Linked DNA regions of Drosophila melanogaster. Changing the gene in region 1 together with any one later gene gives a genetic interaction. Each region holds a gene or a part of one and is shown on either strand. Other genes may lie near its edges.

Evidence for each region.
Region 2: of Utx (region 1) and E(z), changing one suppresses a phenotype caused by changing the other (phenotypic suppression), as found in Drosophila melanogaster (one study listed by BioGRID).
Region 3: of Utx (region 1) and TAF1B, changing one enhances a phenotype caused by changing the other (phenotypic enhancement), as found in Drosophila melanogaster (one study listed by BioGRID).

What each region holds. Positions count from the first base shown.
Region 1 is NT_033779.5:10,271,766-10,281,765, forward strand, and holds Utx (Utx histone demethylase), read right to left. Parts: upstream 7,047-10,000; 5' UTR 6,934-7,046; coding exon 6,884-6,933; intron 6,832-6,883; coding exon 6,485-6,831; intron 6,161-6,484; coding exon 6,049-6,160; intron 5,787-6,048; exon of another isoform or gene 5,630-5,786; intron 5,397-5,629; exon of another isoform or gene 5,047-5,396; intron 4,803-5,046; coding exon 4,627-4,802; intron 4,348-4,626; coding exon 4,219-4,347; intron 4,158-4,218; coding exon 3,932-4,157; intron 3,865-3,931; coding exon 3,684-3,864; intron 3,623-3,683; coding exon 3,362-3,622; intron 3,302-3,361; coding exon 3,169-3,301; intron 3,104-3,168; coding exon 2,400-3,103; intron 2,341-2,399; coding exon 2,201-2,340; intron 2,118-2,200; coding exon 1,698-2,117; intron 1,642-1,697; coding exon 1,432-1,641; intron 1,358-1,431; coding exon 1,231-1,357; intron 1,142-1,230; coding exon 947-1,141; 3' UTR 862-946; downstream 1-861. Other genes in the region: trk (trunk), read right to left, coding at 1-444; CG34043 (uncharacterized protein), read right to left, coding at 7,354-7,493, 7,595-7,648, 7,755-7,805, 7,868-7,921, 8,288-8,555, 8,616-9,065.
Region 2 is NT_037436.4:10,634,075-10,639,632, reverse strand, and holds E(z) (enhancer of zeste), read left to right. Parts: upstream 1-1,753; 5' UTR 1,754-1,871; coding exon 1,872-1,993; intron 1,994-2,055; coding exon 2,056-2,787; intron 2,788-2,848; coding exon 2,849-3,009; intron 3,010-3,192; coding exon 3,193-3,207; intron 3,208-3,539; coding exon 3,540-3,637; intron 3,638-3,695; coding exon 3,696-3,885; intron 3,886-3,947; coding exon 3,948-4,517; intron 4,518-4,585; coding exon 4,586-4,995; 3' UTR 4,996-5,058; downstream 5,059-5,558. Other genes in the region: Cnep1r2 (CTD nuclear envelope phosphatase 1 regulatory subunit 2), read right to left, coding at 264-418, 933-1,079, 1,139-1,210, 1,308-1,329; CG34001 (uncharacterized protein), read right to left, coding at 5,061-5,366, 5,435-5,558. UniProt on the Drosophila melanogaster protein: Polycomb group (PcG) protein. Catalytic subunit of the Esc/E(z) complex, which methylates 'Lys-9' and 'Lys-27' of histone H3, leading to transcriptional repression of the affected target gene.
Region 3 is NT_033777.3:10,139,603-10,146,016, forward strand, and holds TAF1B (TATA box-binding protein-associated factor RNA polymerase I subunit B), read right to left. Parts: upstream 4,583-6,414; 5' UTR 4,470-4,582; coding exon 4,042-4,469; intron 3,987-4,041; coding exon 3,866-3,986; exon of another isoform or gene 3,753-3,865; coding exon of another isoform or gene 3,628-3,752; intron 3,573-3,627; coding exon of another isoform or gene 3,485-3,572; exon of another isoform or gene 3,468-3,484; intron 3,333-3,467; coding exon 2,892-3,332; intron 2,797-2,891; coding exon 1,168-2,796; 3' UTR 501-1,167; downstream 1-500. Other genes in the region: CG42759 (uncharacterized protein), read left to right, coding at 3,485-3,572, 3,628-3,752; invadolysin, read left to right, coding at 5,799-5,930. UniProt on the Drosophila melanogaster protein: Component of RNA polymerase I core factor complex that acts as a GTF2B/TFIIB-like factor and plays a key role in multiple steps during transcription initiation such as pre-initiation complex (PIC) assembly and postpolymerase recruitment events in polymerase I (Pol I) transcription.

The DNA of each region.
Region 1 (10,000 bases):
GTTGATCTTCGACGAGCACTCCCACGGCCGCTGCTTGAACCCATCGATTCTCGGATGTCCCACACGATCCATGAAGGCGCTTCTCGTGCGCAGACTCTTGCTCCTCGGTGCCTCCTTCTTCTTCTCTACCAGCGCAAAGTGGTTGGTCTCCCAGGCGGGAAAGTGGCTAACCGAAATCGCATCACTGTCCGCATAGAAGGGCAGCTCGTACGACGATCGCTTGTATCCCAGATGATAGCTCTTCTCCTCGGGCTCGCCCGGCGGATCGATGCTCATGTAGCGCGGATTAAATGCCTGTCCCAGAATTTTGGCCAGCGACTGCGTGGATAGCTCGGCGCAGTAATCGGCATCATCTTGAGCCGTCCCCAGCACTGCCAACCAAGTGAGCACAATGGCCAGTTCACTTTGGGATTTCATAGTTGGACACAGTATACGCAGAAACATGGCTGGCTAAAAACAGGGCTACACCAATATCAACCAATTGATTTATCGTGTTTACAGCAGTTATCGTTGCTCTCTACACTGTAACTTATTTAGGTACTAAAGTAATAACAGCCAATTCAATAAAAAGAAGGATTTTAATTTCAGTGTCATTGCGAAAGATTATAAATTAAATTTATTCATATATATAATTAAAACGCATTCTAAACTTTGGATAAATTTAAAGTTTTTTTTTTTAAATTAAACTATAAAAGATGGGTCTAAATATTTGAAGTCATAATAAAATTGTCATCATAAGGTAAGTTTCGCTACTCAAGTGGGCTCCAGTTTTTTCGACTATCAAACATAATAGCCGAAAAAACTGCTCTGATGGCTTTATTCGAAAAATCCCATCTCTATATATTCGTACCGTTATGTTTTATCAAAACAATAGAGAGTATATTGTACGTTGTAAAATATACATATATTAAATCTGCATTACTTAAAATGATTCCTCGTATTACAACTACTGAGTGTATGCTAGTCCTTGGGTTCTGTGTAAAGTAAACGAATCGTACACGCGCTGCAGCTCAGACAGACGATACTCCTCCAGGCAAACGATTCCCTGGAGCGACGGAGATAGCTTCAGCGCGCACGATAGGCAGTGGACCACATGTCGTTTCTCCTGCTCCTTGATGAACAGCACATTGAAAACCTCAACCTGCAAAGAGTGCACAAATGATTAAATAAACTGCATTCATATCACCTTTGGAAACTGTATAAATATGTTAATAATACTACGCTAAATACCTCGCATTGTCCGCAGTAATGGGATGCTTCGTTCTTTCCGCGTCCATTGAAACGTATTTCCACACCTTTCGATTTGACATACTCTTGTATGTGCAATACGTTTTTCAACGTTTGCAGCAAACACATTCTGAAAATTACAAATTACATATGTATGCCCTATAGTATCTGCATAATGGTGATTCCTATCATTTGCTAACTCACTTTATCAGCTCGAAAAGTTTGGTATCAGACACTTTAATATTCCTTGCAAGATTCCAGCTTAAATGCACCATCGGCACAATGCTCTTGAAGGCCTGCACTTTATTCCACTCATATCGCTCGATGGCAAGAGAATACTGACGGGCAGTCAAGGGTCCAACATTCCACGCAATGTTGTTGCACCAACCGATCGACTGAACCCAATGGACGCATCTGAAAGTAGGTTTGATTGTTAATACATCATCCTTCCTTTCATATTCAGTGCTTACCCGGCATTCACCCAAACCAAGTCACCGGGCTTTTGTATAAATCTATAAACTGGTATATTCTCCTTGTATAAATCCTCCAGGACGGGCCACCACGAGCCGTGCAGATAGCTAATGTTGTTCTTCTCGCAAAGATTGTGAACTCCGCCCCAGTAGGCGTCAGGGACGGCAAACCATTCACAGTCGCCAGGACCGATGTTGATGTTGATTGAGCAGAAGTTGTTGTTCTCTTGGTGGCCAGGCGTCCTACTTCCGGGCACCTTCATGTACAGCTGAACGGTGTTCATGCCCAAAATGACGTGGCCCACGTGTGATAGCATATTGGCAGCGGATATAACTCGCGCAAAAGCTGGCAGTTTTTGTAGCTCTGTTAATTGTGGTTTCCATTTCTTTTCATCGGAGAGGTCCACGTTGGTCCCGAACCTAAAAAAAAAAGCGAAATAAGCATTTAATTTATGTTCATAAAGTTCGTAATGCAGACATAAATGGTTTGGAGTTTCTATTACCTCAACATTTTGCTGTTTATTTTGTGTTTTTTACGTTTGAGAACAATGTTCGAATTGGATACCGAGTCCTTTGAGTCTGAATCCGACATTGCTTGCGAGCCGGGGAAACCTTTATCGCTTTCATCCTGCGGTAAAATAAGCTACACGATAAAGTAAACTTGTATTCATGTTAAAGAGGAACCAACCCAACGAACATTACCTTCAAGCTGTCTTGAAAACTGGATGCCTGATATTGGGCATATTTGGCTATGGTTGTGTGAGACCGATGGGAAATGCAGGCCCAGACGCGCTTACCCTGCGAAGTGTCCCAATTTTCATCGGGAGACTGGTGCACTTGTGTCCGAACCTCAACACTATGGTCCGGGTTGGCTTCCACCAACGTTTTGGTCGAAAAGAGACCGAGATCTAGCTTCAAGACGCCCGCTAAGCCGCGTACAACGGCAATCGGATGTTTCAGGCAAAACTCCTGCAACTGTGGGCTGAACGCGTGCTTCTTATTTTCTAAATGAACAGAGGGTGTGGGAGGCAGGAGTTGATCTCGCGTCAGTTTCTGCGGTGGGCAATCGGGCGGAGATGGCGGCGGCGCATTCACTTGCAAAATGGTACAGTGCACGGGCGGTTCATCAATCGGCAGCAGCTTCACAGCTACCATCAACTGCTTCGAGTCCATTTGTATTTTGAACGTGGTCGAGATGTCGGCGTTGTCACCGCCAATAAAATCATGCCTCGAGTCCTCATTGTTACTCAGTGCATCCTGGCTCAAACGTTCGAGCTTGATGCTCTCATTCTGTTTATAAATATCATTCGAGATGTCGTCGAAGGTGTCAAGAACACTTTGCTCCGAACTTTTGTTGCTCTCCGGCATGGCGTTGAAGTTGCGCTGGTTTAAAGATTCCGAAATGTCTGTTTGGAGTGTTAAAAAGTGATTTAATACTTTAAGATATATACTATTTAAATTGGTCACTTACTTATTAGATTTTGCGCTGATGTCTGACTGTTGTTTTGTGTTACTTCTTGTTGGCTTGTGCCATCTTCCTTAATACGTTTCGAAGGTATGGGACTTTGGCTGAGTTGGCTATGCGGATAAGGTGGTGGCGGTCCCTGTTTAAAAACATGATTTAGTTGATTGCCCACTGATTGGTTTAGGATTAAGGAATTCACCTGTACTGGACTTTGCTTTGTGACCTGTCTTGGTAGCATCTGCGCTGTTTGTTGTTGGCGAGAGTTCATTTCTAATGATATTGGCAGGTTCCAAGCTTCTTCGATTGAACACAGCTGGCGGCGCTTGGATGTAATACTTGGCAATGGTGCTTGACTGAGCTGGCCCTCCAGGAAAGTGATTCTCTGAGACAGGCCTTTCGACAGTCCAATTGTGTCCTTTTTCATACGTATTGCTTGTTTTTTTCGAATTAACGAAGACTTCTTCAAGCAAAACAAGTGTGTTAGGTATTGGAAATGGCTACAATTGCATATATAAATTTACCTGGAATGATATTTGTTTGGTTGCATTTAAGTAGCAAGCATAGGCATCTCGTAATTGACCACAGCTCTCATAAAGTATACCCAGGTTGGTCCACGCGGCTTTATGGTCTTTATCCAGTTGCACAGCACATATGTAGGCTTGAAGGGCATCCGTGGGTTGATTTTGTTGCTGATATAAGACGCTAGAAGTGCATGTGTAGAATACAAATAAGATAGGGGCCAAGCTAAACACATTCATTGTTATTTTACCCGATTGAGCACCAAGTATCAGCATTCCCCTCACTTTTTTCCACCGAGTTGCGATATGCTAGGAAAGCATCATGAACCTTATTGATGCCGGCGTAACACCTTCCTAGTAAATATAATGATTGTCCACTCTTTGGGTCAGCTTCGATTGATTTTTGTAGAAAATTTAATGCGTTTGCTTCACGTTCCTTTTTTTCGCCTAGGCATTCTACGCAATGGTACATCCATCCTATAAGGATTCAATAAAAAGTTATGTCTCTACCAGCTTAAAATATAACTTTTTAACTTACCTAATTGTCGATAAACATCTGCTTTGAGCTCCAAGGAGATGTTTTTCTCATTTAGAAGAAATTCGTAGCCATCCTTTGCCGCCTTGTGCTTGTTTTGAACTTCGTACAAATGCGCGATTTGAAATTTGACTGCAAAGTATTAATAATGAATAAAGTTTAAGACACGGGGTGAACGTACTGCAAAATATTTAAATTCTGAATGAATCATAGAAGTTTGCCTTCATCGTATTACTTGATAATTCAATGTATGAGGACTTTTTGCATATAAGTTGTTTATATATCAATAATAAGATAACATTTTAAGATGATAAGTAAATAACTGAAGAACAGAAAAACCTTTTCAGATCACAGTTTTAATTACACATGAAACTTATATGCAAAAGTTTATAATTATTCAATAGATCTTACCCTGAAGTTCCGAAAAGGTCGAAGGATATGTATAAAGCAGCGCCAATTGTAAATGTTTTAGGGCAATATGGAACTCCCCGCAGTGTTTTAGCATAAGACCTAGACGCAAATGAACTTCATTTGCACATGTAAAATTGGGACTTAGGTATAAAAGCTCCTGAAACGATTTGATGGCCCTGGAAAAAAGTAAGTAAATTAATTTTTTTATTCGTTGTTCTGAATTATTTGTTATAACTTGAATGTATTATTTTAATTTATTAAATTTTGTTTTATATTTAATTTATAGTAATTGTTTACAGTGAGCGGTGTTTACATAAGTGCATACATACTTATGTGCATGCAGTCACGTACACACATGCACGCGTATGTACATACATACATACAAATAACCATTTGAACAAACAAATTCAAGTAACATACTTAATTAAACTAGAACTCCGATGATAAGTGCACAACAGTAAACTTAAATGTTAATCTCCTAAAATATGCCTGCAAAATGCAGGTTTTGTTTATAAATAACAATAGAACTTGCAGCCGTCGTGTCGGCAGACATGTCTGCGTGCACTCAAAAAAACGAGACAGACCGTTTCATGGCTTTTTATCAGATAGAATTGCACTGAGAATCATTGATTATTTGCGTCGGACGCGGTCTGCCTAAATGTTAGCTTTCGAAATTAATAAAATTAAACAAAGAACACATTTTACCCCGCAATTCAACTAACGACCTTAAAGGGGGGCACTCATTGCATTTTGTACACAGACACACGCACACACACGCACCGTGTACATACATGCATGCATGTAACGAGAATTTATGTATTTTTATAACAGCGAATTTGCAAAAACAAACAAAGGAATACAATGAAAACACATATATTCATTTTAATTTTTGGCAATATTACATCGGTTTAATTATTATTATTGTAAGTGTTAATGTTTACAGCATCCATTTGTTTTTTTTTTCTTTAGAACCCAGACAACTATGAAAAGATTCAAAACTAACCAGTAAACGCACTTTTTTTATTCGAAAAAATCTCGGCAGTCTTAATTTTAATTCGTTGTGAATTGTTTACAAATATATATATAATATTAGTGGCAGTGTTGTTTCGTGTAGAATCTATTTAGTAAACAATTTAATATCAATACAATAGGGATGTGACAGGCGCGATATCGTGATTAAATGGGAACGATATGAAAGCGAAACGTATACATCGATAAGAGCCATCGATGATTACAATTGATAAATAAATGTGCTTCCACTGCACATGCATCTACGTTTAAACGATTCATATCAAAATCGCATGTAATGGGTTTTAATTATTAAATATAACTTAATTGTTTTTGAACGTAGCATAAAGATATTTCTTAAATACAACAAATATATTTAAGCAGTTAAAATATTAAAAAGATAAGTAAACTTACCATTTAAAGCACCGAAGTTTAAAATAAGCAACGCCTATTCCATAGATAAATGCATGATTTGTCCAGTAATTGTTTTCTCGGAATCTTAAATACTTTTGGTACGCTGATAAAGCTACAAAAAGAATAAGATATTAAAAAACAACTCAATTCTTTCAGGATCTCTCGTGATGGATTGAAGTGTTATGTTATTTATGCGTCGTACTCTGCAGTTTAGCAGTATTTAATGTTAAAGTGTGTCATTAATGCGGCATTCTACAACTATGTTCCCGAGTTTGGAAACAATTGTTCCACCTGACACATTATGTAAGGTAAAAGAACCAGATATTCACAATATATGAATTTGTGAGGACTACAAGCATCCTATATATCCTATAGATGTCATTTGCAGAGTGCACTGATTGTATCTGGACATGTGCATCTGGATTTATGTATTTACCTTCGGAGTATTCGCCAAGAAGAAGATGCAGGTGGCCAAGTTTGCAAAGAGCGTTAACGTAGTGTTCATCCTGGTGTTTTTCTTCAATGATGGACACCTTTTCCTTGGCATCTTGCTCGAAAGGTTTGGTGTCGTCATTGTTTCGGGAAGATGTGTTTTCCATATGTTCACCTGCTTGAGTTGATGGCTCAAACTTTTGTATAGCATTTTTATTATCACTGCTGTTCTTTGATTCGTGAACCTGACCATTTGCAATGTAGTTTTGTAAGTTTGTGATGGTCTGCTGAACGAGATTCCTTAATTCCGCATTTTTCGAATTGGACAAATCCAAAAAGCCGTAGTATCGACTGAAACGTAAATATTATTAAACAAGATTCGAGCGGGTGGCATTAATCGTACCTATCCAGTTCGCGGATCAGGCAATCATCTTCGAAAGTTAGTTGCCCCATTTTTAAACCAACTGTTAAATCTACTGGGTTTTAGAAGCGTGGGCAAAATACAGCGTAGTTTTTAAAATATTTTTTTATTTATATTTTTAGTTTAGAGATGACACTAAAATATTCTTAGAGATGATACATTTTTCTATCGTCGACGTGTCACGCCTTTTTTGAAGTTAGTTTCTCACTGCGCAATCGATAACGGAACTGGAACGATTGGAAAATTGTGGGAAACTGTGACCAAATAATTTTTATTTTCGCGTTAGCTGATAACAATTTATTATACACCAAATCAATACAGATGCTGTTTACAATTTATGTTTTAAAAATTTGAATCTTAATGCAGTTCTTTTGATACTTTTCAGATAAAATATACATTTAAGTTATGGAAACTGATCTTATTGAAGATCAAAAAATAAATTGAAAATTTAGTTAAAAAAAATGGAAATTTATTGTGCGAGTTATCGCTAGAAGAAAATTAAATGTGAATATCCATGCACAAACTCCTTTGGCCTTAGATGTGTTTGCTCGGTTTTTTAGGAATTCCTTCTCACTTTCAATGTTTTCATTAACTGAAAGATAAACAAAATTTTAGGTAGTTTTTAATTAAAACTATATTATTCAAACAATCAATGTAATATTTAAATATCAATAGAACAATGAATTAACTTACAAGGGTCCTCCGTGTTTAAAAAATCTTCTGAGACGCTTTCCACGTTTACAGCATCTAAAAACAATTACTCGGTAAATAAGTATAGCAAAGGAAAAACAAAAAAATTTAAAAATTTTGTAAAAGTAATTACGAAGTAGAACAGCCGTATTCATTTTCTTACCAGTTTCTGAGTCCGTCAAATCTTCTACCTCAGTTTCAATCTCATCTTTAACTGAAATTAAATATTCAAATTAAAGTTATTTTAGAAAATAAAACTGAATAAATTAGACTTACTGGGGTTTGCTGGGTCTGGAAAATACACCGCATCAGGCTCAACGAATTCCTCCACTGAAAAATATTTAAAAATGTACTAATTAATTATATGTAATTAGATAACAATGAAAAATAAAATTCCTGATGGATTTATAAAAATTTTAGTAAAGTACCTTTGATATTTATTTGATTTTTGATAAATGTGTTAAGATAACCCTTCTTCCCAAAAGAAAAGCGTTATAAATTTTAGACCTTAAAATTCCGGCTAAAAGTGGATCTTTTTAGTTTTATCATAGAAATATTCTTATCAAAATGCAGTTAATCTTTCTCGGGAAAGCAGAGGAAAGTTTCTACGAAACTATTTGTTTCTCTTAATCCGCAAACGATAAACTACTTTTGACAACAAAATAAATATAGCAAATAACTTTCGGTTTACATTACCTATTTCTGCGATTTTTCTTTGACGATAAGGTAGAGATACACTGTAGTTGTTATTTTGAATGTCCGCAATCTCTGTATTCTGTATTATTGTATATATCCAACTTAAATATGGATTTAATTGCGTAAACCTATTTGGGCGCCGAACTTCAAGATTAGATTCCCGTTTATTTTTCAATGGCAAGCCATAGGAAATGATTCCAACTAAATTACTTTCATGAATAACACCATAACCGGGATATATGTTTTCTCCATCCGCATTTTTCCAAACCTGTGGTAGTAATTTTAATATTAATAAAATCGTTTTTCACATAAAAGGATATGTTTTTACGTAAGATTCCACACCCTCCTCCAATGGAAAATCGGTAATATCATAGTCAGCGACTAAAACCCATTCAATATCGTTTCGCTCGGAAAGCGGAAGTTGCGTACTGAGACTTAGGATCGCTATATCATTGTCCAACGATGAGAAATTGAACTGCGGATATACGTCTATGCCACCAACGAGGTATATCAACTCGTTCAAATCTTCGCCTTTGAATGATACCGCCAACTCATCAGCATTTAACAATTCCCTACCATTTACGAAATCGTTATCACTCAATAAACACGATGCTGATGTTAAAACCAAGCGACTCTGAATGATATTGCCATAGCAATGGCCGTCGATCAAATCTCCTTGAGTATTCCTTTTGCGCACAAGGACTTGGTACGAAGGACGAAAGTACTCATTTTGCACGAACGGAAAAAAGCACAAGATAATCAGAGCTACCGAAATCATAGTATCTTTGGCTACGCAGGCGGGAGAATCTTGACTGTCTTCACGGTTTCCTTACACGTTTAAGATAGTAAGCAACCTCAGATGCACAGATGCCGAGAGATATAGCTTATCTTTTTATATAATTTGCTTAAGTACAGCGGAACCCGCATTCTTGGGTCTTAATTCAGTTGCGATAATTGAGCATAAACAGGTGTGCGAAATAACACTTTTTTTTATATATGAAGATATGAAGTGTAACTGAGGAAGTAGTCTGAACATTACGCTCATTATGTGATAACAATTAGTACAAAGATTCCCAAATTTTTGGTATCTTATATCGCATGTTTTTACTGTTTCACTGTTGTTTGTCTGGCTTCATAAAATGAATGAAAAATTTAAGAGGGCAGCTCACTAAGCACGGAAAATCGTTAAAAGGGTGAACCAATTTGTTAGCAAAAAATTTAAAATAACTGAAAAAAAGGTAATAATAAATATTTTATGTGTCTTGGCAACGATTTAAAAAGATTTAAAATGAACTCATTTACTTAGCTTTAGATTCTTTTTGTTATTTGTTTTAATGGAAGATATAAGAACAATTAATATAAGCAGTAATATTTATTTTCTTGTTTACGCAAGCTTAGACTGCAATTTGTTTACAGGCAAACGCAGTCGACAGAGCAGAAAGCACATTATTTATGTTTTCAAATGAACTGCCACAGAAATGTATAAATAAGTAGCACATTTTTTGATAACAAATTAGTAAAAGGAGCTGTCTGTTCCGACTGGGATCTACCCAGTGATTCCAGAGTTCAAGGTAGTTCTTGATCAGCTCAGTCAATGTGGCTAATTTTTATTATGAAACAGCATCAGCAAGAATTGAAGTAACCTGGTTTTTTAAAAAACGTTTTTCTCCTTCGATATTACAATACCTCAACAATAGAATTAAATAAAAAGTA
Region 2 (5,558 bases), on another chromosome or scaffold:
TATTGAAATGTCGCTTGGTGTATTTGGCAGCGATGGGTAACGCCATTAACGAAACACATAAAGCTTAACAATTGATTTCTTTTCTTTTTGTTTTTTTGTACAAAGGAGCTTCTATAATTAAACAAAATGTGTAGGGGAGAAATAAGAGGTACTTTAAAAATACGCTTACAAAGCGAGGGTGTCCGAATCAACATGTAGGAAAAAAGAAAAGGGTAAGGGAACTAGCAATTAACTAAATAAACGTCCTGGAAGCTGGCCGGTGCTCATGTACTGTTGTTGTTACTTTGCCGCGGCTTGAGTATCAGCTTCCCCGTGTCGTCACAGCTCATATTAAAGTCTCCCAGTACCATTCGCGTTCTCGATGTAATTATTTGCGGAGCTATGACTAGTTTCTGTATGCCCAGGATGAACAGGACGACTGCGGAGAGAAATGATAAGGTTTACAAAATCAGTAAGTCAGTTTCAAACCAAAAAAATTAGATTAGATTAAATGGAAGTGTTTGTTAGCTGAAAATTCTTAATCAGTTGGACTATCAATATTGATATATACAAATCGAATTTGATAAAGCGAAGAGCTTTGACAAGATTAAAGGCAACCTAATGTTGCTAAAATTTGGAGAATGTACTTATGTAGTTTGCATAGATGTGATAGATATAAGGAGTGTATTCTACTCAAAATAACAGTAGAAATACCTAAAAATTTGAAATTCTTGATTTTGATCCTTTCTTTTTACCGAGTAGCCTGAGATAACCTGATATATAGTATCGACTTGCTCTACGATATGATTATATGGATTTAAATAGCATGGTATGGCTTGGTATTAAAATTATTCTCCATACTAGGTAGAATATCCGAGGTTCAATGACCGCCGCTGTTGACTACAAAAAGTGACCTATGTACGGAGTACAGTAGTGGCTACACCGATTCTTACCCAATGTTAGGGTGGCGACTGTGAAGACGGGATGAATCCAGAGGGACTCCGTTAGCGGTACAACGGTGGTGCGCGGATCGCGTAGCCAGTACCAGGCGCTGATGGCGGTGCACATGGACATGGCGGAAAGGACAACTGCAAGAAGCTCTATGGTTATTACGGATTGTAATGCTCCCTGGTGTTCTCATTATACGGATGCAACTTACTGCGCCAGCGGAACGTCGAGGGACGGTACGATGAAACCACTTCGGTGAGGCGCCGCTCGAAGGCCTTGAGATCTGCAGAGGAGCGAGGAAAACAAACCCAGTTATGGTTGGTAAACATAGTCAGTGGCTTGCGCGTTTTCCGGCTCTCTTTTGCCGGCGAGTTACATACCTTCGCAGGCTGACGGTTCCATTGCAGCTATTTCCTCAAAGCTCGTGGCCGTCTTAATGCGATTAAATTTGTCCAGTTTAAATATTATTGTATTTATTATTATTATTTGATGAGGTTCTCATAGCTTTCTTTTCCTCTTTTTATGTTTTTGATGACATTCCACGTTTGAGAGCACTGATAACGGGCTGCGTTTCTCAACACTACACAAAGCAGGGTCGTACCAAAGAGGGGCTCTTTGTTTATTTCCTACTTTCAGTACAAAATGGTTGTATAGCTAATTTAAAGTGAGTATTATATTTATGTATTATTTATATTATATTTATATTATTTTAATACAAAAATATCATAGTTTTTATTATAATATAAATATAATTAATGGCTTACCGGACAAATTAAGTACCCACTAAATGGTCTTCTACATACACCCATGTGTCTAAGTTATTCTTCCTGCAGTACAACGGTCACACTGCGGCAGCTGTTGCAAAAAAAGGCGGATAATATTTGTAGCAAAATCAGTGTTTTTTATACGTAAAATCAACAAATATAAAGTCCCTCGAAGGCATTATGAATAGCACTAAAGTGCCGCCCGAGTGGAAGAGGCGTGTCAAGTCGGAGTACATCAAAATCAGGCAGCAGAAGCGCTACAAACGTGCCGACGAGATCAAGGAGGCGTGGATAAGAAACTGGTAAGCGCGGGAGAGATGGTGGATGTCTGGGAATCGAAAATCTATGTACACATATCCTCCAGGGACGAGCACAACCACAATGTACAGGATCTGTACTGCGAGTCGAAGGTTTGGCAGGCTAAACCCTACGATCCGCCGCATGTGGACTGTGTGAAGCGGGCGGAGGTGACTAGCTACAATGGCATTCCCAGCGGTCCGCAAAAGGTGCCCATTTGCGTGATCAACGCGGTCACTCCCATACCCACCATGTACACGTGGGCACCAACACAGCAGAACTTCATGGTGGAGGATGAGACGGTGCTGCACAATATACCCTATATGGGCGACGAGGTCCTCGATAAGGATGGCAAGTTCATAGAGGAACTGATCAAAAACTACGATGGCAAGGTTCACGGCGACAAGGATCCCTCGTTCATGGACGATGCCATCTTCGTAGAACTGGTGCACGCCCTTATGCGCTCCTACAGCAAGGAACTGGAGGAAGCCGCTCCGGGTACAGCGACTGCCATTAAAACAGAGACGTTGGCGAAATCAAAACAGGGCGAAGATGATGGGGTAGTTGATGTTGACGCAGATGGTGAATCTCCCATGAAGCTTGAGAAAACCGACAGCAAAGGGGATCTGACTGAAGTTGAGAAGAAGGAAACTGAAGAACCGCTGGAGACTGAAGATGCGGATGTTAAGCCCGATGTGGAAGAAGTCAAGGACAAGCTGCCCTTCCCTGCGCCCATTATTTTTCAGGCCATCAGCGCTAACTTTCCAGACAAGGGCACCGCGCAAGAGCTCAAAGAAAAGTATGTAATTTGATAACCAGGTTAGTAAATATCCCTTCTTACGGCTTTTTCTTTTTGCTAGGTACATTGAGCTTACGGAGCACCAGGATCCGGAGCGCCCACAGGAGTGCACACCCAACATTGACGGCATCAAGGCCGAGAGCGTTTCCCGGGAAAGGACTATGCACTCCTTTCACACGCTCTTCTGTCGTCGTTGCTTCAAATACGACTGCTTCCTGCACCGTAAGTTAAACGATGGGAACTGCTGCCAGCTGGGTTACCTAATGACTTTACGTTTTGTTTTTGCTTTTCTTTTCTTGTTTGGAAACAATATTATCTTACCAAAAAACACAAATCTGTACCATTTCTTAAACCCCCAAAAAAAAAAACGAAATTCCAAAATGTATTGAATTAATTGCAATTTAGGTCACCATGTGCAGGGTGAGTCGTTGTTGTAGTTGTTGTTTCGATAACCACACGCACACACTCTCATGCCGTTTGCCCGTCAACGCCTCCGCATCCTCATCTCGCTGTCTATGAATATAATTTTTATAATAACCCATATCGGTGGATAATTTGGCTATGTTTGTCATGTGTCTAAATTGACCCCTCGGTGTTGCTCACCTCATTTTCGTGTGGCTTTGGCTGGACCATTTCTCTCTATCTCTTCAAATGTAACCGATTACCCTCATGCTAATCCAAAAGCGTTTCATAGACATCAAGTGATTTTCGCCCGATTGAGTTATTCTAATCCCGCTGCTCTGTGTTCACAGGCTTGCAAGGACATGCGGGTCCCAATCTCCAGAAGCGTCGCTATCCGGAACTGAAGCCTTTCGCCGAACCTTGCAGCAACTCCTGCTACATGTTGATCGTAAGTTGGATGCACTTTATAAATTTAAATGGTATTTTAATTCTGTTATATGCTGCAGGATGGCATGAAGGAAAAGCTGGCGGCCGATAGCAAGACACCTCCCATTGATTCCTGCAATGAGGCCAGCTCCGAGGACAGTAATGACAGCAACAGTCAGTTTAGCAACAAGGACTTTAATCATGAGAATAGCAAGGATAATGGCCTGACTGTAAATAGCGCCGCTGTGGCTGAGATCAACTCCATTATGGGTCAGTTTTAAGTTAGCAGATTGGTTGGACCATGTGTTAAATATTTCACTTTTTCTCACCAGCTGGCATGATGAACATCACCAGTACGCAGTGCGTTTGGACAGGCGCTGACCAAGCACTTTATCGGGTCTTGCATAAAGTGTATTTAAAGAACTACTGCGCGATTGCGCACAACATGCTGACCAAGACCTGTCGTCAGGTGTACGAGTTTGCCCAGAAGGAGGATGCTGAGTTTAGCTTCGAGGATTTGCGACAGGACTTCACACCTCCGCGCAAGAAGAAGAAGAAGCAACGTCTGTGGTCGCTGCACTGTCGTAAGATTCAGCTAAAGAAGGACTCATCCTCGAATCACGTGTACAACTACACGCCCTGCGACCATCCCGGACATCCATGCGACATGAACTGCTCCTGCATTCAGACACAAAACTTCTGCGAAAAGTTCTGCAACTGCAGCAGCGATTGCCAGAATCGTTTCCCCGGCTGTCGCTGCAAGGCTCAGTGCAATACGAAGCAGTGTCCTTGCTATCTGGCAGTGCGCGAGTGTGATCCCGATCTGTGCCAGGCCTGCGGAGCGGATCAGTTTAAGCTGACCAAGATCACGTGCAAGAACGTGTGCGTGCAGCGAGGACTGCGTAAGAAACCTTCTTATATATCCATATTGGTCTTCGCCACTGTCAACTAATTTAATCTTCAATTGCAGACAAGCACCTGCTCATGGCTCCGTCTGACATCGCCGGCTGGGGCATCTTTCTTAAGGAGGGTGCGCAAAAGAATGAGTTCATTTCGGAATATTGTGGCGAGATCATATCCCAAGATGAAGCCGATCGCCGTGGCAAGGTTTACGACAAGTACATGTGCTCATTTCTTTTCAATCTGAACAACGATTTTGTTGTGGATGCCACTCGGAAGGGCAACAAGATTCGGTTTGCCAATCATTCCATTAATCCCAATTGCTATGCCAAGGTTATGATGGTCACCGGCGATCATCGCATCGGCATCTTTGCCAAGCGGGCCATTCAGCCCGGCGAAGAGCTATTCTTTGACTACAGATACGGACCCACGGAGCAGCTGAAGTTCGTGGGCATAGAGCGTGAAATGGAAATTGTTTGATAACGAGTCTACTTATGAAAATCGTATCATACAAATTGAATAAAACTATATTTTTGAAAACACACCTAAACGGATTTAGCTACATTGGCTATAATTGGTTTGGGTCGCGATTTGAAGATTAATTTTTTGGTGCAAACGGCGCGCACAGTGTACTCCGTTCTTTGGCGACTCTTGTGCTCCTGGGCGATCGTATGATCCAGCACTGTGCGCTCCGCTCCCGTGGTGGCGTTCAGCATACTGACATCCTGCGAGGCCATGCTCGTTTCTAGGAGTCGTTCTCCCTCATTGGTCTTGGACTTTTCCAGCACCGCAAATGGTTTATCCAACTTTTGTTCACGTCCCTGAAGAATGTGATGTCCAATGATGAGAATCTTATGATATAAGTAAAATCAGATTGTTTAAGAGCTGGTTAAATTATAACTTTACAATTACAACTCACAGGTTGGCCATATTTATTGTAGTAGAGATCGCCAATAAACTGGCCGTGCATATCCTGGTTGCTCCGCACCTCCAGGTCGCCTTGCAGCTCTATAATGGCCCAATCGCCTTTGCCAGCGTTTTGT
Region 3 (6,414 bases), on another chromosome or scaffold:
CACACTGCGCTGGACGGGCAAAGAGGCGTACAAAGGCACAATGGGAACTAATTTAAATTGAATTCGAACTCAGTGCTCGCGGCCAGTGGAAAAGTGGAAAATAGGGAAACTCAAACCGCAGCAGGGCAATAAGGCGAAACAGTCAGCGACGACGTTAAAATTAGCACTGAAACGCGCCGTGCGAATGCGCGCCTATGATTTCTTTACCCACTCTCACTGCTCCCAAGCGGAGGTGGCCTCTTTTCTAGCTAGATATAGCTATAAATATAGGTAAGATCACAAGAATATCGAAAAAAAGCATAAGATAATTCTTATCACCTCTTTCGCCGGATTTTTGAAGTAGGATCATCAGAGATAACTGCTTTATATGAAACAAAGCTAGTAAGACATTAAAAGGAAATCGCTCCTATGAGAGCGTTGACAACGTTAAACTTAAAGCAAATATAAACTATCACAATTGAACACCCTTTAAATTGTTATATATGTAAGTGATTTTTTTTGGTTTATTTATTTTATTTTGTTGTTTATTTGGTATAATTACTTTATAAGTAGAACTGTTCAAAAACAAGCCAAGTGAGCTCCTCTGTTTCCCCAAGTACTCTCACGCTCTTTTTTTGCTCTCTCCAGTTGGTGATGACCGTGGGGCCTGGCGCTCTCTTTTGAAGAAGATTTTTGTAAACAAAACCGCGACACGCATTGTTGCTGCTAATGTGATTGTTGTTGTTCTGATAAACGCTAATTTGCCTATTGATATTGATGTTAATGTGCCTTTGCTCACACAGTCGCGGCCAAGGAGATAACACTGCCCCTTAATACATAGATCGTTTCAATCTAAAATGGATGCAAATTTAACATTTGGGCATAGGAAAACGTATGGGTAGACAACGAATATTTTTGTTAAATGAATTGATCACTTTCGATAAGTGTGTAAATCATAAATTCCTGAACTTAAGCTATTGACGTAGTGGGTGTGTCATGTTTGTACTTTGGTAACTGCTTAACACACAGATTTATTTGCATCATAATCACTGTTGAAAGATTTCTACAGGTTATATACACAAAAAGAAAATCTATCATTTGAGGTAGAGCACTACGTAGAAGAATATTATATTTTATACAGATGGCATCGTTGTTTGTTAATTCAAAACTTTTAATACTTCTAATATACTACCATAACTCCTTGTACGTCCTGGCGAGGGTTCGGATGTCCTTCTCTTGAGTATTGTGTTGAATACACAGATAGTTCCTATGATTGCTCCAGTCCCTGATGCTGTGATGGTACATCACTTCCACAATGAGCAGTTCCTCGTAGAGCTCCTCCCAGACTATGCCTATTGTGCTGGCACACGTCTCCAAGAGCCAACGGAAGGAACAGGGGAACAACTGACGCAGTTCATGCTTGTCATGCCTCCGAATTCTTTTCATATAGCCGTGTAGAAGCCAGCAATCAAAATTTGACACTTGCAATAACAGCGTCTCAGGGCTTGGCGGCTCATCATTGATATCGCTCGCTACTTGGTCTGATGCTCTATCAGAACCTTCCGGATTCAAAATTTTTTCCAGATTGCGACGGGGCAGATCTAGAGGGATGTTTAATGGATCCATGGTCCCTTCCTCGAAGGTTTGCAGTGAGCTAAGGCTGTCAAGTGGTATCTCGTTATCGTTGAGTTTGAGAAGAAAGCTGGGCGTTTCGGTAACATCCCAAAACGGATTATTTATCTCAAGTTGCACACGCCTTGCGTCGCGCATTGTTATACGTTTCAAATATCGGGCTCCATAGGTTCCAGTGGGCTGTGTGAACCGAAAGTCCGGCCGTTTCTCCTTACGCTTTAGCTCGCTTATCCACGTCTCGGTTTTAATTTCAGTGTTGGCGCGGTATTCTCGACCGTCACCTCGGATTATTGTTAGTGGGCGGAATATGCCCACGTTTTGGATGTCCTCCTGGCAGGCAAGCTCCTCTACTCGTAGTTTAAGGCCATGTTGGGACAAATACTGCGACAGCTCGGTCGTTTCCAGCACAAAGGGATCCAGGTTGCGGGCCGAGTGATCCACTTTCATGTGGTCAGGAATTGTGATTTTCATTTTTGCACCATCAGACCGCGATACTTGGAGTAGGATTCTGTTGAAGTAGGAGTGAGCCGGAGTCAAGCTGGGCTGGAATTCAATGTGTTCCTTCTCCATACTTTCTTTGCTGGACTCGCCAAAATGGTCCTTCAGCATGGTTTCAATAATGTGTGTCAGGTTTTCATGCTGACGCTTCATTGCCGCAGATCCCTGCATCCAGCCAAAGGTTTCGCCTTGCTCCTTCTCTTTCCACTCCTTTGCCAGTATGTCGTCCACCTGACAACCAGTCCGGGTGGATACCCCGAAGCGACGGGCAAAACTTTGGTTGTAATGTGAGACAATCACTTTCCTCATCTCCACAAACTCCATCCACTCGGTAAAAACAAAAAGCAAGGGAGCCTCATCTCCGCCGACTTCCAGCAGTTTTTCATTGATTTTAGCGGCCGATTCAGATATATTCCGCTCCTTGAGATCGTCCAAGCCGAAGAGCAACTTCATGGCGTAGAGGATGTAGGCCATAGTCCTGGCCTCATAGCGCGGATACGGATGTACGGTCATGGCGTTAAAAAAAGTGGGCGGATGCAGGTCAAGCAGGCTATTCACGTACTTCAGTAGCCGAGGTGGCAGTGCCAACTCCAGAATATATCGCTCCGCTAGGGAGTGCAGGTTCGGTTTTTGATATTCAGACAAGTTTATGAATCGTGACATACACGCGATGTTTACACGCAGAAGCTGTGGAGAATATAAAGATAATTATTAGTTGTGTTCCTTTTTATTAATAGATATTTCTATTTTTCTATCGTTAGAAAATGATGGATTATAGTCACCTTGTTGGTAACCTTGTCTTTCATTTTGCTGAGCTCCATATCTTTGAGCAGTGCCTTGCCCTTGGCCGCCACATTTCCGGGCAGATAGTTAAGCATGCACCGCTTGGTCAAGTGCTCCTCATCAATGAAGCGCAGCAAGTCCGATAGCTGTATATCATCCTCCACCATATTAAGGGCTATGCCCAGCACCACATACAACTTGATAATATTCAGGCAGTAGATGTTACGATCAAAATTGTGGAGCTGCTTGACCCTCGGTCTCAAGCTGTGGCACGACATACTACCCTTGCTGTCGCGGCTATGCTTGTCCAGGTGCTTCAGCGGCATATGGCGCTTCAAGGACTTGCGTGCACGCATTGACCATTGCAGGTGGAGACTCTGCTCCCCTTCGGACTCTGAAGCTCCTCCGTGCGAGCGGTAGCCGGAGGCGTCTAGATTGCGCTGCAAAAGGAATGGGATCAAGGTGTTACAGTCGCATCTGAGTAAACATCACTAATGAATAGGCTAACTATGTCATTTATATAGCTTGTGGAGCTATAAAAGACGAACGTGTTCAAGTCAGCAGCAATTTGGTAAAGTGTGTCGTTGCAAATATGTCCATGCGTCTGGTTCTAATTGGCGTGGCCATCCTGGCATTGGCCTACGGACAACCTGTTCCCGGAGCTCCAGAAGTCACTGAAAGTAATTAGATAAACTAATCCTAACGCTTATTGTTCATCCAACATATTCGCCACAGATTCTAATCCAGTACAGGAGATAAATACAGCAAAACCCATGTATAATGACTACCAACGGACCCTTTTCCTGCTGCTGCCCCTGCTGTTTCCTAACCAATTCTATATACCGACTACCAGCGGCTAATAAACTACCTTAGTTCTGTTCCACAATCTGAACTTGGCGCGCTCGTCATTTGGGTCACCCGTTAGAGTGCTCTTCTTGCCCTTTATACCGACTACCAGCGGCTAATAAACTACCTTAGTTCTGTTCCACAATCTGAACTTGGCGCGCTCGTCATTTGGGTCACCCGTTAGAGTGCTCTTCTTGCCCTTTTTGCCTTTCTTGAATGTCTTATGGTTGTAGATGATGCGGGCATCTCTGAAAGAATTCGGAATTTAAAAATAAGAAATTTTAGGAGAATGCAAGAACCCACATGGGCAGCGCCCGCACATTCAGTTTAGGCAGTCCCGTCTTGTTGCTCTTGCTGAAGGCCACCTCCATGCTGTCCAAGTAAGCCGCCCACACTTGCAGGGTCATCAGTTTGAGCTCCGGCTTGGCGCCCATGTTGAGCAGCTCCTGGAGGAAGCCGCGCAGCACGTAGTTGTAGAATTCCCACGAGGTGATATCGTCCTCATCCTCCTTCTCCGTATCCTTCTTCTGTCGGATCGTCCTGGCTGTATATCGGCCTGCTGCCGTGTCATCAAAGTTATCCTCGGCGGTAATGTCCACTGCACGAATCTGATCCTTCTGTGTGCCACACTCTACGCAGTAGTAGAATCCCTCGCGCTCCTGGAAGGTGGTACCCTCGCACACATCGCAGTGCATGTTCTCCAGCTGCATCGTCTCGAGAACTTCCTCCATTTTTGGGACTTTCTCTTGACGGTATCAGATTTAAATTATATTATTAATCAAACTCGCGGTTGTACACAAATCGTGCATGTGATAGTGGTGGGGAATGATCTATGTTTACAACGATATCATCCGTTCTTCGATTGATTCGATATATCGTCCGTTTCTTCTATGAAAACGTACATCACTAGATTAAGGCGGCAAATAAAAGTTGGTTCAAAGTAACATATTTTTAGTCATGGTATTTTAATAAAATTTTATTTTTATATAAAATTTAGAGAGCGGTTTTTTTTTGAAAGTATATATTAAAATCTAATAAGCGTAAAGGGTATTTTTTATTGTTTTTTATGCCAACCTGTTAGATGCACTTGTACGTTAGCCATCACTGAACTCTAATCTCTCGTAACATTTCTGTTATCTTTTTGGTGTGACCATAAGCAGTAAGAATTGAATTATCCATGTCTTGACGCTTGATTTTTAAAAAAGTCGATTCGAAATATCGATAGGCAACGTAATTTTTTAGCGCTAATAAGAGGTGTTACCAGATTCGGAAAAGCATAAGAACGCGTTTTTCGTTTTCGTTGAATGGCCACTCTGTCCTTGTGTCCATGTACTTATGCATATGTATAGAGACTCGATTCAAAACAAAATCGGCTGGCGAACGTTAACGTCGTTGTCGGACGATTCGACTCGCGTCTCTCTAAGTTTGTTGTTCGTGCCAACCACCCCCGCCGGTACCCAAACGCCCCCTTTTCGCGCGAGTGTTTTTATGGTTTTGCTGAATGAAAAGGCTCGACGAATGCGCTTATTGAGTGCCCACTGTGTCGGGTATGGCAGTGAGTCCTACAGAATGCTCTCGCTGCACGGACAGTTCATGAGAATTTGACATTTAAGTGCGAGTTTGTTCCTCCTTTTGCGGCTAACTGCAGTTTGTAGTTTGCTGTAGTTTTATGCACATTTTTTTGGCGTGGGCTGAGATTGGGACACACCCACCCGAAAACAAAAACAAAAAGTAGTCCAAAGGCCCCAATAATTGAGTGTCTCTGTGTGTGCGTATGTACGTGTGTGTGCGAGTTGTTTATGTGTGCGAGTGAGAGGAAAGGGATTCGAATCGAGCCGGTTTTCGCGAGTTAATTGACAAAGCAAACGGCGGAAAAGCAGCAAACATAAGCAAACCAAAGAGGAAAATAAACAAAGAATTTTAAGTGCAGATATGGGTGTTCGAAGTCAAGTGATAATTAAACAAAAATCACACTAATCCTGACAATGAAAAGGATCACCGCTACAATGCTGAGTACTCTATAATATCCACGGCGATATTCCACCCCGAAGTAAAACACCATGGCCAAAACGCCCCCGCTCCGCCCCCACGGTAACATGGCCAAATTCCTGGCAGCCCTCGGCATCTGCTCTTGGCTCCTCGTTTCGGCCACCGCTCACAACTGCCAACACCAGCATCCAAAGGCCCACGAGGTGAGTTGCGTTCGTTTGGCTCCAAAAATGAAGGGATTGGATTGAATTGGATTGGACTCTATGGTATTGGGTTGAATTGGCCTTCTTCTCTTACTCCGCCCTTTCTTGCAAATAAAACAAATAATATCCGGGAAAGGGCTATTTTGGGAACACGGAATCTTTAAGTGCTCACCCGCACACGTGTGCCAAATATTTACAATCCCAACTACATTAATATTAGTCTTTTTTTTTTTAGTCTTGCAACTAGCTAAGATTTTTCATGCTAGATAGCTAGATTACAAGATAGTATAAGGTATGAAGATGGTTTGGTAATTTCAAAAGAAAGAGTCCTTAAAGTTTAAATCAGCTGGAAAATCGCAACTTCGGAAATTTCAATGCTCGAGTTTCTTGTTTGTTTCTGCTTCGGCCATTTGGGCAGATTGTCCTTCGTGCTCATTAGAGAAATTTCATAATTGGTGCAAACTGTGCTCGTCGAAAATTTATA